3 linked regions of the Sus scrofa genome follow. The main gene of each other region encodes a partner of the protein of the gene in region 2 in a complex. Links are inferred from orthologs where the notes say so. Each region holds a gene or a part of one and is shown on either strand. Other genes may lie near its edges.

Region 1 (4,273 bases), on a different chromosome or scaffold from region 2:
TTTATTCCACAATATTAAAGATCTATAGTCATAACATCTGGATTATGTCTTGGTCCCACCAAGTTACTAGTTACATCACCTTCCTCTTAACCAATCTGAACCTCTTTATTCTCTGTGTAAACAGATACTCAATTATGTGACCTACTAGGAATACAATGATGATCATCCTGTTCTTAAAGATCTTATGTCTTCAAAGATAGATGTATGTGGTACACATCCCAAGCCCTGTATTAGATGATATCCAAAAGCTGACACAGGGCTCCTACAACTCAAAATAGGAACACATGTGGACATTGGTGAACTGCAAATTACTATAAAAATACAAAGGTACACATCATTTTGTGAACCCTAAATTATTCAATGCACTGAGATCCAAAATGACCACTGTATTCCAGCATGTGAACTGAAAGATGACAAATACAACAGAAACATTATTCCACCATTCACCATAGGTGAAAGAGCAAAACTACACACGGGACCTCAGAGATGAAGAGAAGTTAGTGGTAGAATTAACCAAGGACAAAAACTAACACATACTAGACAAACTGCCCTATATTACTGATTTCCAAATTTTCCTGACTTTTGGTTCAAAAGCTCATTCCACAAGCTCCCAGCTCTATGCCAAAAGTCAGAAGAACTCATTTCTCACTTCCTCCAACAAAAAACAAATGCCTACACTGCCATATAGAGAATAGATTAACATTCTTGTTTTACTATCACTGACTCATATTCAGTTTATGGTCTACTTAAACTACCGCACCCTTCTAACACAGCACTGAGCCAGTTATCCCCACATAATTTTCCATTTGTTTAGTTGGTCTTCCTTCCTTGTGTACTGCATTACTTACTCGTGGTGCTAATTATTCCTGATTTTACTTCATTCTATAGTATCACACCTCTCTTCTAATTTTAAGTCATATTAATTTCCAGACCATCTTCACTTCAATCCTAGGGGAATGTATTAGTACTTCTGATCCTAGAAAGTGTCTTTGGATTCAAAAGTTAAACACATTGTGTACAAGTTAAATAAATGCAGAGTATATTTAAAATACAACATATTTCAATCATCAGTTATACAACAGTAAACCATGATTGATTATCTGCCATCAGTAGATACCTGATTCTTAGACAGAAACTTATCATGAAGAAATCATGATGCCAATGAACATAATCCTGAAATTCTATTAAAGAACTGTATAATATTAATATTTAGGAACTATAACTGTAACTGGTCCTAACAGTTATAAAGGATAGACTGGAACAAGCACACTGCTTTCTGTTCAAAATAAAACACAAATGTCCTATTTTTCCATTCTCCAACGTAAAATAAGAATGAGTTAAAAGTTATAGATGATGCTAAGAAAATTAAAATACACAAGAGCCTGGTGTTATTATAAACACACACAAACACACACTAGTCAAGAAAATGAGGGGGAAATCAAAATCAACACAACAAAATGTGATGTTACCTCCAAAAAAGCAATGTATCTTCTTTCCTAGTAATAAGCTCACTAAAATCTTTCTCAGTGCTGTAAAAATGTAAAATAAGTTTCATGAAAGAATTCCAATCCCATTGCTCTCAGTTGACAGCGAAAACAGTAAAAACGGTCCTATGGTAGGAAGGGAAAGGGGTGTCTTTCACCTGTAAGGATGAGACATACTGTTATCTGACTTTCCCCATCCCATTTATCTATCCTTTAAAATGGTAGCAGAGTCACTTAATAAACCCCTAAAAAAAACCACAAAAAACAAGCAAACTAGGTAAATTGAAACTGATTCTCCTTATTTTTCCTAAAGGTCAGAGTGCATGCTTTTTTTTATTGAGAAATTTCTTCCCAGCTCAAAAAAACAAAAACAAAAACAAAAAAACACCTTCTTCACCTCACAGAGAGGTTCTTAGACATACCTAAAATGCATTACTTTGCAACTTCCTCCACCCTCTTCAAAAAACAAAACCTTCCTACACTTTCAGTCTGGTGCGGTGGCTCTGATTCAGAAGCTGGATTACAACTGGATTAGATTCAGAAGATCAGTCCCTACTTGTGCGTCCTTGGGCACGTCATTTATCCCCTCAGTTTCCTCATTAGCACTGTGAATGGCCTTTGAAAACAGTAAAGGTGTAATAGTGTTAATCTTTACTACATGGGGCAAAATTACCTCCTTAGAGGGACATCATGAAACTGGAACTGAATCAGTAGATCTCTGTCAACATCTGACTCTTCCTTCTACAGTTCTCCTCTTCCCTCGAAGGACACAACCCGAGTCACCTCAAAAGCAGACTCCAATCGCCCCTTCCTTTCTCTGCTCTTTTCTCTATCCTACTTCTAAAGCAGGGGGAAAACCCTTACCTCCTCACCCCAAGCCACATCTTCAGAGGACCCCACCCCAGGCACATCCGCCTTCTCCCTTCTCCGGGGGCACCAGAGGCCAACTTCGCCCTTCCCCTCCCGCCCCCACCTAGAGAAGACTTCCTGGAGGCGCTCGGGCCCGAGCAGGGCAGGCGGCATTTACAAACCCGCTTTACGCCACTCGCGTAGGGTAACCTCGCTTACGCCCATAGGGCCCGGTTCCCAGCCCCGTCCGCTCCGCCTGCCAGAACCAAGCCCAAGGGCCTCAGCCACGGCTCCCGTGTGACCCTAGACCTCTTCTGCTCCGCGCGGCGCTATGGGGACTGGGACAGAACAGCCTCACCTTACCGGCAACTGAGGGACTGACTTCACTTCCCACCTTTGGAGCCCTCTTCAACTCCCGGATCAATTCACTCCGGCGACGCCGGAAGGACCCGAGAGGAACCAGGCGTTGTCCGGAATCCTGCCCAGCCGGAGTCGCGCAGGGGTTTGTGGGGACTCGTAGTCCCACTCGCGGGCTTCGTCGGCAGTTCCTGCACATAAGAGACTACAACTCCCGTCAGGCCCTGCGGTAGAGCCTAAGGTGATGGGTGGAGACAGTTTCAACCAATAGTAATAGAGTTCCCTGCCTTTGCTGGAGGAGGTGAGAAGAAGAGAGAGGGTGAAATGAAAGAAGAGGAAGGGAGGGGTCAGGTCTCACCTGCGCCAATCAGGATGCAGGGTCGGCCCCGCAGTCAACTCACCCATTGTGGGGGCGGGCTAGCGGAGCCCAGGAAGGAATGGGGGCGGGGGAAGAGCTCCGAATGGGGAATATGGGGCGCCTGAGCTGTGGAACCTGAGAGGAAGCCGGGGGGGGGGGGGGAGAAATCGCCCTGGTGGAGCGAGGACGCGGTGTGAGGATGCGCCCTAGCTAGAGGAGCAGTTTCCCCCAAAGCGGCCAAGAACCAGGCACACCGGGCGGCCAGACCTGCTGGTCAGTCAGGGATAGGTCGAGCCCGGGCTCCTCGCGTAGGTGTCGGGACGGGGCGGGAAGCCCTGTGCCAGGTGTCAAGCCACTGAGTGAAGGGAGAAGGGTCCCCGGGGAAGGAAAGCGATAGGACAGCTGCAGAAGTGCTAGGAGCGCGAAGGTACCAGGGCAGCAGCTTCCCGCCGCCTCCAACCGGGCAGCAGGCGGAACAGCCGGGGGAGGAGCAACAGCTGCTGAATTCGCCAACTAGAGGAGGGAGAGGCGGAGCTTGGGTCCCTGTAGCAGCCGAAGGCGCAGCCTGGACTGTAGTTTCCCGGGAGAGAGGAGAGCAGGAACAGGAGCGGAGCGCAGTCCTCGGAGCCTTAGCTCCAGCATCCCGCCAGGGGTTGCAGGTGTGTGGGAGGTAAGCGTGGGTGCCACTTCTGGGCGTCTGCTCTGCCTGGGAGAAAGCGTCTCCCAATAGGAATAATATCAAGGCACAGCTAAGAGTCTCTCACTCGGGTTAGGAAACTGGTGCAAACCCTTTTAGGTGAAAGATGTACATGTTTGGACTTGGAGAGAGGATAAAAAGCAAAAGGTGGTTTGACTCTGGGTATAAAGGGCGTGGTTAGTGTTTTTGGTTTCAGTTGTACCGTTAAAACTGTTCTGGAAGATTTTAAGATTGAGGAAACCCTACTAATTTAGGACAGGGTGATATTTAGATAGGTGCGTAGCCGGTTAAAAAAAAATGTCATTGATATAAAATTACTTCAGAACTCTTTCACTAGGAAAATAACTTTGCATTCTTCTTCACTATCTACCCCTTACATTGTTTTATCAGATTGTCCTGCTACCGACCTGTTTTCCAGGGCGGTTATACTGCAGGTTCCTAGAATTGAAAGAGATCTCTGTTAAAGAAGCAAATATCGTCAGGAATAATCAAGACGACGGAACCTAGCAGAAGTATAACTTTTGCCAG
Region 2 (4,258 bases):
AATTTCTTTCACAAATATAAAGCTCAGGAATAATCTTGACCATTTTTTTCCCATAAATTACCTACTCTCATTTGAATGGTGCTGGGAAGGTGGGAGAGAGATTGCCAAAAATAAAAAGAGAGTTTTATGTTAACAAAGATGGACAAGGGGGCAAGAAATGACGAATAAGTTTTTGGCATAATGTGGCCAGTTCCTTACTCCCAAGATCTGAAGGACGGAGGATATGGTGTAAGCAAGCCAGGGAGATGAGAGCTTGGGTTGCCTTTCACAACTCTGCCCAGGCAACTTGAAAGAGCAGGACTGACAGGTTCCTGAAGAGAAAAATCAGACCTAATCTTAAAAGTATTTTTGTTGACTCTGGTATTGACTTAAGAAGAGATTTAAAAATTAAAAAGATGATACCAACTGTTCCAAATTTCATTACCATTCATTCAATTCTTATTTCCTACTAGAAAGATTCTGATGGAAAAAAGAAGGGATATGGTCGAATTTAATGATGTTGATATAAAGAAATTATTTTTAAAATATATATTCAATTATACTAATAAGGAGGTCAAAAACCACAGATTCCTGGAAACTCCCTCCTCCCAAAATGCCTATTTGCTCTGTTTAAAAACTATGCAGGAATTCCTGTCATGGCGCATCGGAACGAATCCGACTAGGAACCACGAGGTTGTGAGTTCGATCCCTGGCCTCGCTCAGTGGGTTAAGGATCCGGTGTTGCCATGACCTGTGGTATAGGTCATAGACATGGCTTGGATCTGGTGTGGCTGTGGCTCTGGCATGGGCCAAAAGTTACGGCTCTAATTAGACCCCTAGCCTGGGAACCTCCATATGCCGCAGGTGTGGCCCTCAAAAGACAAAAGACCAAAAAAAAAAAACCAAAAAACAAAAAACTATGGCACATTTTCTAAGTTTCTCCATGGATGCTTAATTGAACTGGAGCACAAACCAAGATACTGTAAAAATGTAGTGCCCTTAGTATAAGCACCAATGGGAAACCTACTTGAAGTTTAACATTTGCCATAAATAACCCAGTAAGTAGTGTGTGTGTATATATTGGGGCAGGGAGGGGGTAAGGTAGAGAGGGCAAAACTGAGGAGTAACTACAGTTACTCAATAAATACGCATTCAATAAATACGCTGAATAAATAAATGATGAAACTGAAGTTCAGAAAAGTTAAAGGATTTCCTCAAGGTCAAAGAGCAGGCAGCAAGCACAGCTTATACTGTAACCCCTTCTGCTTGCTCTTTCCACAACCACTTGCACTACACCAAAGCAGCCTGTTACAGCACATGATTCTATTTAACATGATTGTTTCTTCTTTCCTCTTAAGTGCCAAAGAAAATACATGGTACCAAAAAAAGTGACACAGTGGGTAGCACTTTAACTTCAAGTGTTTCACCAACCAAAACTATACTCAGATTTCACAAGCATACAGGATTAGCCAGAAAGACAGAAAGGCAGAGCCACTCGTAGTTCTTTAAATTCCTTGTGAAATTAGTGTATGCCTTGGAAGTTTTAAAAACAGCCACTGAAACCTACTTACCAGTTCAGAATGGCCTGCAAAGTATCAGCCTCACTTTCATTCTTCCAAGATCCCACAATAGCTCCTCCCTGGATATACTTTATCTTGTAGATTATGCAAGGAAATGTAACCAACTTTGAAGCTCCTTTTAGTTCCTTTTAAAGTACAAGTCAGTCTCACAAAACCCTGAACATAAAATTAACCCTTGGGAAGTTTTAGATTCTGAGAACAAGAAACCATCTCTGAACCATTATCTGACTGTGATTATCTATCTAGATTCTTCATTCAAAATCCACGAGTCTGAAATATCTAAAAGAAACGCGGGATGGGATGAGGAAGAAGTAAAAGAAGAAACATTTACATATATAAAAAGGGAGCAGATATTCCTAGTAACACTTTGACCCAACGGCAGCTTCTTGCCTTAAAGTCAAGGCCTCACGGATACAACTTCTGTTGTCTTCTCTGATCGCCTTCCTCACAGAGAGGCGCCAACTGTCAATACCTTTTCCAGGCATCTTCTCTAGACCTAGGAGGGCCACTCACTAGGATAGGGGATGATTTGCTCATCTCTCAAAACTACTGTCAGCCCAATTAGTAAACTGAAAGGGAAGACCTAAAATGTGGAATGGCGAGAGAGTTCAAACAAGCCTGAGAGTTAAGAGTGGGAAGGAGCAGACGAAAAGGTGCGGGGAGGGTAAACAACGCATGGGGGGGGGAGCTGGGAGTGGGAACCCGGGTCGAGGAAGTGGGGTCACCTAAAGGCAAAGGTGAAGGGAGGAAGGGGATGAGGTTCTGGGTGGGATGGGCTGGAGCAAAGGGGGAGGGGACGAGCGAGCGGAGCGGGGGAGGGGGAAGGGTCCGGGGCGGGGCGGAAGAGAGCGGAGAGGCGGGATGAAGACGGCCAGGCCGGGAGGGTCTTTACCTGCAGCTCCGCCCGCTCTACTTCCCACTGGGCTCTCTCCACTTCGAAGCGGGCCCACTCGTGCTGAAGGAAGTGCAGGATTCCCGGGAGGCTGTACTGGGCTCGCGCCGCCCCCGCCGCAGCCGCCCCGTCGCCGGCCGCGGCAGCCTCCGCCAGAGGCCCGAGACCCTTGGCACCGCTGGCGCCCGGGTGGTTGTTGCTGAAGAAGACGCCGGGACCCGCCTGCTCGTCCATGGCGGCCGCAGGAACCCGGGGAGCTGCCCAGGCGCCCAGCAGCTGAGGCAACGGCGGCGGCCAGCAGCGTCTCCTCCTCCCTCCGCCGCTCCCCGCCCACACCCCAGTCAGCAGGGAGCAGCCGCCTGGGCGCGGGGGCCGGCCGAGCTCGGGACGGGCCGGGAAATGGGTCAACTGCGGTGCGCGGGCGGCGCGGGGCTTGCTGGGAAATGTAGTCGCGGGGCGTGGTGCCGGCGAGCACCGCCCGGGCTGCCTGAGGGGTTGCGACCGGCTGCGGCTCCACCGCGGCCCCGCCCCCGGGCCCGCCCCAGCCCATGGCGGAGAAGGGGCGGCCCCCGGCGGGGAGCGCGGGTTTCCTCTTGGTTAAGCAGGGGCTGGCTGGCGGTCCTCCAGCCTCCCTAGCACGCGGAAGTTCTTGGGCGGCGCTCACTGTGGCGCGCATACACACACACACACAAGGCGCTCACTGTTGCAGACACACACACACACACACACACACACACGGAAGTTACCGCGCCGAAATGCCAGCCTAAGCTGCACATCTCCTACGGCTTCCTGGTAGTTCTGTTAAGAAACAAGCTCAAAGCAAGCTTCGCCGGTCCGACCCCATGGCCCGGGATTCTCTAGCCAGCACGCTCGGACCTCTCCCTTCTGCTCTGTCTAGAGTGATTCTCTGACCCAAGACACTCCACTTCTGTCCATCTCCTTATCGCGGTCGTTCCTGCCTTTTTTCTCGCTAGAGGTTCAGTCAAACCTGTTGCCTGATCACTTTTCATTTAGAAGGAACTAATCATCTCTCTGTCCTGAACGCAACACAGCAGCTTTCTGTTTCTTGCAATTTTTGGTTTGGTGACACCACATCTAAAACAGGGCTCTGCTTCACCTCCTTTATAGCTTGCAGTAAATCCTGTAAACGTTACAAATATCCAAGGCTCTTTTATTTCGAACTCATTTTTCCTTATCCCTGAGCAGTCGGTACACATTTCAACAAATATTTGACTGTAAGTTATCTCATTGGGGATATAAAGATAAATGACACAGTTCCTGTCTTCAAAGGCAGACTGGCAACTATACAATCAATTCTCGCAATGCCCTAAAGTTACACTATTTAAAAGAACAAAATCCCTTTCTACTCCCTAGAGCTATCTTAGGTATCCGGGCACCTCTCCTTTTTCACTTGTCCGGTTCCCAGTTTCTTCCACGTTTCACTTGCAATCTGGCAATAGTATTAATCTACCAAAGGCCCATCAAAGTCCTTTCAAGTGTTTCTCTCTAAATGTTATCCTTCTCCCAAGTTCTTGAAATTATGTCACTTATTAATTCACACTACAATGATAATGAAAGGAAGGGACCTGAAAAAATTTAACAAGTGAAAATGAAATTAAGCACTTATTTTGTCCCTACAAAAAGTTATTTGTAGTTCTTTTGTGGGATGGGCTTCTGGGATATCAAACCTAATGGCCATGGAAAAAAATATAAAAATATAGGCTAGTGAGTGACATGTCAGGGAAGGACATCCTGTCCCTGTATTCCCCCTCCCCCTCTTCCCACTGCTACTTGTGGAAAGGACAGG
Region 3 (3,585 bases), on a different chromosome or scaffold from region 2:
CAAGGCCAGGGATGGAACCCGAAACCTCATGGTTCCTAGTCAGATATGTTTCCGCTGCACCATGATGGGAACTCCCAATCATATTTTTAAAAATAAATCAGATCATGTCACTCCCTGTTTAAAATCTCCAAAGGCTCACCTTTGTACTTGACCTTGAGCTCTCTATCTTTTCTTACACATCCTGTGTAAAGTGGCCCCAGGCCATCTCTCTGAATCCCAGGCCCCAAACCCTCCTCCTTCTCCCTGCACTTCAGCCACACCAGCCTTCATTCACCATCTAAGACTCTGAGCTTGCTGTCACCTTGTTACTGAGGCTGTCCCTTCTGCCTGGAGTGTTCTTTCCTCTCATGTTCTCACGGCTAGCTCCTCCTATAACTCGGATCTTGGTTAGCCGTCACCCTCTCAGAAGTCTACACACCCCCACCGCCAATCTAAAGTAGTCTACTACGTTATATGTCATCTTACTTAAATTTTCTTTGCCATATCTATCCTTCTCTGAAAGTCTTCCTGTCTCCTTAATTATTTATTACCCCTTTTCCCAAGTTTAACATATTGTGAAAGTAGAGACTTTGCTTTGCCCAGCCTGAGTTAAGAGTCCAACAGCATACACTTAGTCCATGACAGCACCGCAGACAGATTTCCTCCTGTGCAGCGCCCCCTGACTCACCAAAGACATGGGGCACTTCTCCAGCTCCTCCTCATTCTTGATCTGAACATCTGCGATGGAGATATACTTGTGCTGCGGAAGAGAAGACATCAATAAGGGCCTCGATCACATGTGTACCAGCCTCTCGCTTAACTTCCTCAATGACAAGGAAATGTCCTGCTTATGGGTCTGTCACCTCAAATAGGAAATGTCCTGTTTATGGGTCTGTCACCCCCCATAGACCATGGACTCTTTGAAGGCAGGAGTCTTACTCACCTTTGCAGCATGAACACCAGTAAAGTGCTTTGTATTCAGTATTTGTTTATTCCACGTTTCCACATTGGTTGAAGAGCAGCAAATACCTTAGCATTTTTTTTTTTTTTTTGTCTCTTGACTTTTGTCTTTTGTCCTTTTAGGGCCGCACCCATGGCATGTAGAGGTTCCCAGGCTAGGGATCTAATCGGAGCTGTAGCCACCGGCCTACACCACAGCCACAGCAACGCCAGATCTGAGCCGCGTCTGCGACCTACACCACAGCTCACAGCAACGCCAGATCCTTAACCCACTGAGCGAGGCCAGGGATCAAACCGGCAACCTCATGGTTCCTAGTCGGATTCGTTTCTGCTGCACCACAACGGGAAATCCATACCTTAGCATTTTAACTTCAACCAAAGTGCAAGCGGACATGAAGGCCCTTACCACTGGACCACTGCCCTGAGAGTTTTGCTGCATGTGCGTGTATGTGTGTGCAGGTGTATGAGTGCATGTGTGCACAGAGTGATAATGGGAGGGGGTAGGGCTCAAGGTCTGTGGAAGGAATGTTTACTCTTACTTGTGCTTTCACACACTTTGGAGTAAACTGCTACTCAGTCTTGGGCCTGTGGAAGTTAGTGAGTCTCTAAGGAACAAAGTGAGAGGAGAGGAAATGAGGAGTGGGAGGAGGGCAAAGGAAAGAGGAAGAAAGGAGAACTTTTTCATCTATTTGAATGCAGGACACTGCATAAGTAGGGAGACACTTGATTTTAACCTCTTCAGCCAAAATGCCTACAGAGGAAATACAGAAGAATAGGTTCAGAACATGTCTGGTGGAGGAGCCCCACCCAGGGCCCAGGAGCCGAGTCATCCCACTTGCCTTGGTCGCTCCCTATCTCTGAAGACTGAGAGCCCACCCTGGTCACCTGTTTGAGGGTCTTCACACTCTCATGGATGGGCCTGGGTAATCCAACCAAGGTATCTGTGTCCCTGTGAAATGTAAGACATGCCAGACCATAAGGGTCAAAAGTACAGAGAACTCCCGATACCCCCTGGAGTCACATGGACTACATCACTTTCAACATCTGGTACTCTGGAGCTTTCTCTGCAAGCTTCCTGGTCACCCATCACTGCTTGAGGACACAAAAAAGAACAATGGTACAGAGATGTGTCCCTGAAAATTAGGATTTTTGTGTAGTCTTTTGGGGACCCACCTCTAGGAGCAGGATCCTATTTAAAAGGGCATGTTGCCCAACAACACTTTGGACAGTGAAACAGCAGTAATGGCGGCTTCTCAGTTTTGTAGCAGCCAGTGAAAGGACTCGTGAGGCTGGGGAAATGGGGAGACACTGAATCTGTTCTGACCATCACTGCTTCACAGAACTCTGGCCCATCAAGAAGGGCTTATGGGGACCATCTAACAACATTCTGATGAGGGAACTGAGGCATAAGAGGGAAATGACTTATTGTTCAAGGTTCTACATCTAGCTCAGAACATAAAAGTTCTAGGAAACTGGAAGGAAAAAATTCCATGGCAAAAACTCAAAGCAGTCACTGGAAGTGGCCCATGGCTCTGGGTCGTAATCACCACAGCCAGGCAACATCTCTCATTCCAAGCCACCCACTCCTCTGGTCCCCTAAGAACCACACTGCAAGCCAGTTCTGACTATCCAGTCACTTACTGCCCCAGAGTGAATCCGATGAACTTGTTCCTGCTCATCTCCAAGAAGTGCTCAATGTCTTTCTGTCTGAGAGGACAGTGGAGAGCCAAATCCCAGAGAAGGGAAGAAAAGCAAACCTTGAGATAATCTTACTGGGCTTCCACCCTTCCAGTTGGAGAACTGGAACAGTAGGGGAAGGCAGCAACCAACAGAGGGAACTTGAAACCCAGGAGTTCTGATTCCCAGCCAGCTTTTTTTTTTTTTTTTGCCTTTTTGCCTTTTCTAGGGCCGCTCCTGTGGCACATGGAAGTTCCCAGGCTAGGGTCTAATCAGAGCTGTAGCCGCTGGCCTTCGCCAGAGCCACAGCAATGTGGGAACCGAGCCACGTCTGCAATCTATACCACAGCTCACGGCAACGCCAGATCCTTAACCCACTGAGCGAGGCCAGGGATCGATCCTGCAACCTCATGGTTCCTAGTCGGATTCATTAACCACTGAGCCACAACGGGAACTCCCCAGCCAGGTTATTGAGCCTTGACTCCACCCTGGGCCTTCAGTTACTGACACCCCAAAGCTCAGGGTCCCTGGTGATATCAAACTTACCTGACCTTTGGGGCCCAGGGTAGACCCTTGGGAAAGGTCACTCGCTCAGCAGAGAGGGGTGCCTGTGAAGGTGGAGGTGGTACTAGAGGGTCCTGCTCTAGCAAGTCTAACTCTCCATCCAAGGTTCGTTCTCCATCACCGGCGGACTCCTCTTCCTCTTCTGCGGCTGGTTCCTCAGTCTTAAAGAGATCTCTTTCGTTGTAGATGTCCAAGCTGTCCTGCTTAGTAAGGAGTTGCTGGGGTGGGGCAGGAGGGCAAGGAAGGGCAGAAGGAGAGAGGGAAGGTGTACAGAGATCTCACCTGGACATCCTTGTCTGAGACCACCCCCTCCGCAGGCTGCTAGACTTCAGGGAACATGGAGTAAGAACCCACCTCTAGTGACAACATTCCCTTCTCATTGCAACCCTACTGTCCCCACCAGGC

The links.
Region 1: STRN (region 2) and PDCD10 share a complex: the UniProt entries of both Homo sapiens proteins name them as parts of the core of STRIPAK complex. The link is inferred for Sus scrofa from reciprocal best matches to the Homo sapiens genes STRN and PDCD10.
Region 3: STRN (region 2) and STRIP2 share a complex: the UniProt entries of both Homo sapiens proteins name them as parts of the core of STRIPAK complex. The link is inferred for Sus scrofa from reciprocal best matches to the Homo sapiens genes STRN and STRIP2.

What each region holds. Positions count from the first base shown.
Region 1 is NC_010455.5:106,556,115-106,560,387, forward strand, and holds the start of PDCD10 (programmed cell death protein 10), read right to left. Parts: upstream 2,837-4,273; 5' UTR 2,697-2,836; exon of another isoform or gene 2,692-2,696; intron 2,101-2,691; exon of another isoform or gene 1,907-2,100; intron 1,643-1,906; exon of another isoform or gene 1,470-1,642; intron 1-1,469. UniProt on the Homo sapiens protein: Promotes cell proliferation. Modulates apoptotic pathways. Increases mitogen-activated protein kinase activity and STK26 activity. Important for cell migration, and for normal structure and assembly of the Golgi complex.
Region 2 is NC_010445.4:103,248,397-103,252,654, reverse strand, and holds the start of STRN (striatin), read right to left. Parts: upstream 2,830-4,258; 5' UTR 2,686-2,829; coding exon 2,452-2,685; intron 1-2,451. UniProt on the Homo sapiens protein: Calmodulin-binding scaffolding protein which is the center of the striatin-interacting phosphatase and kinase (STRIPAK) complexes.
Region 3 is NC_010460.4:19,231,590-19,235,174, forward strand, and holds part of STRIP2 (striatin-interacting protein 2), read right to left. Parts: intron 3,399-3,585; coding exon 3,163-3,398; intron 2,647-3,162; coding exon 2,581-2,646; intron 1,889-2,580; coding exon 1,825-1,888; intron 740-1,824; coding exon 668-739; intron 1-667. UniProt on the Homo sapiens protein: Plays a role in the regulation of cell morphology and cytoskeletal organization. Required in the control of cell shape. Calmodulin-binding scaffolding protein which is the center of the striatin-interacting phosphatase and kinase (STRIPAK) complexes.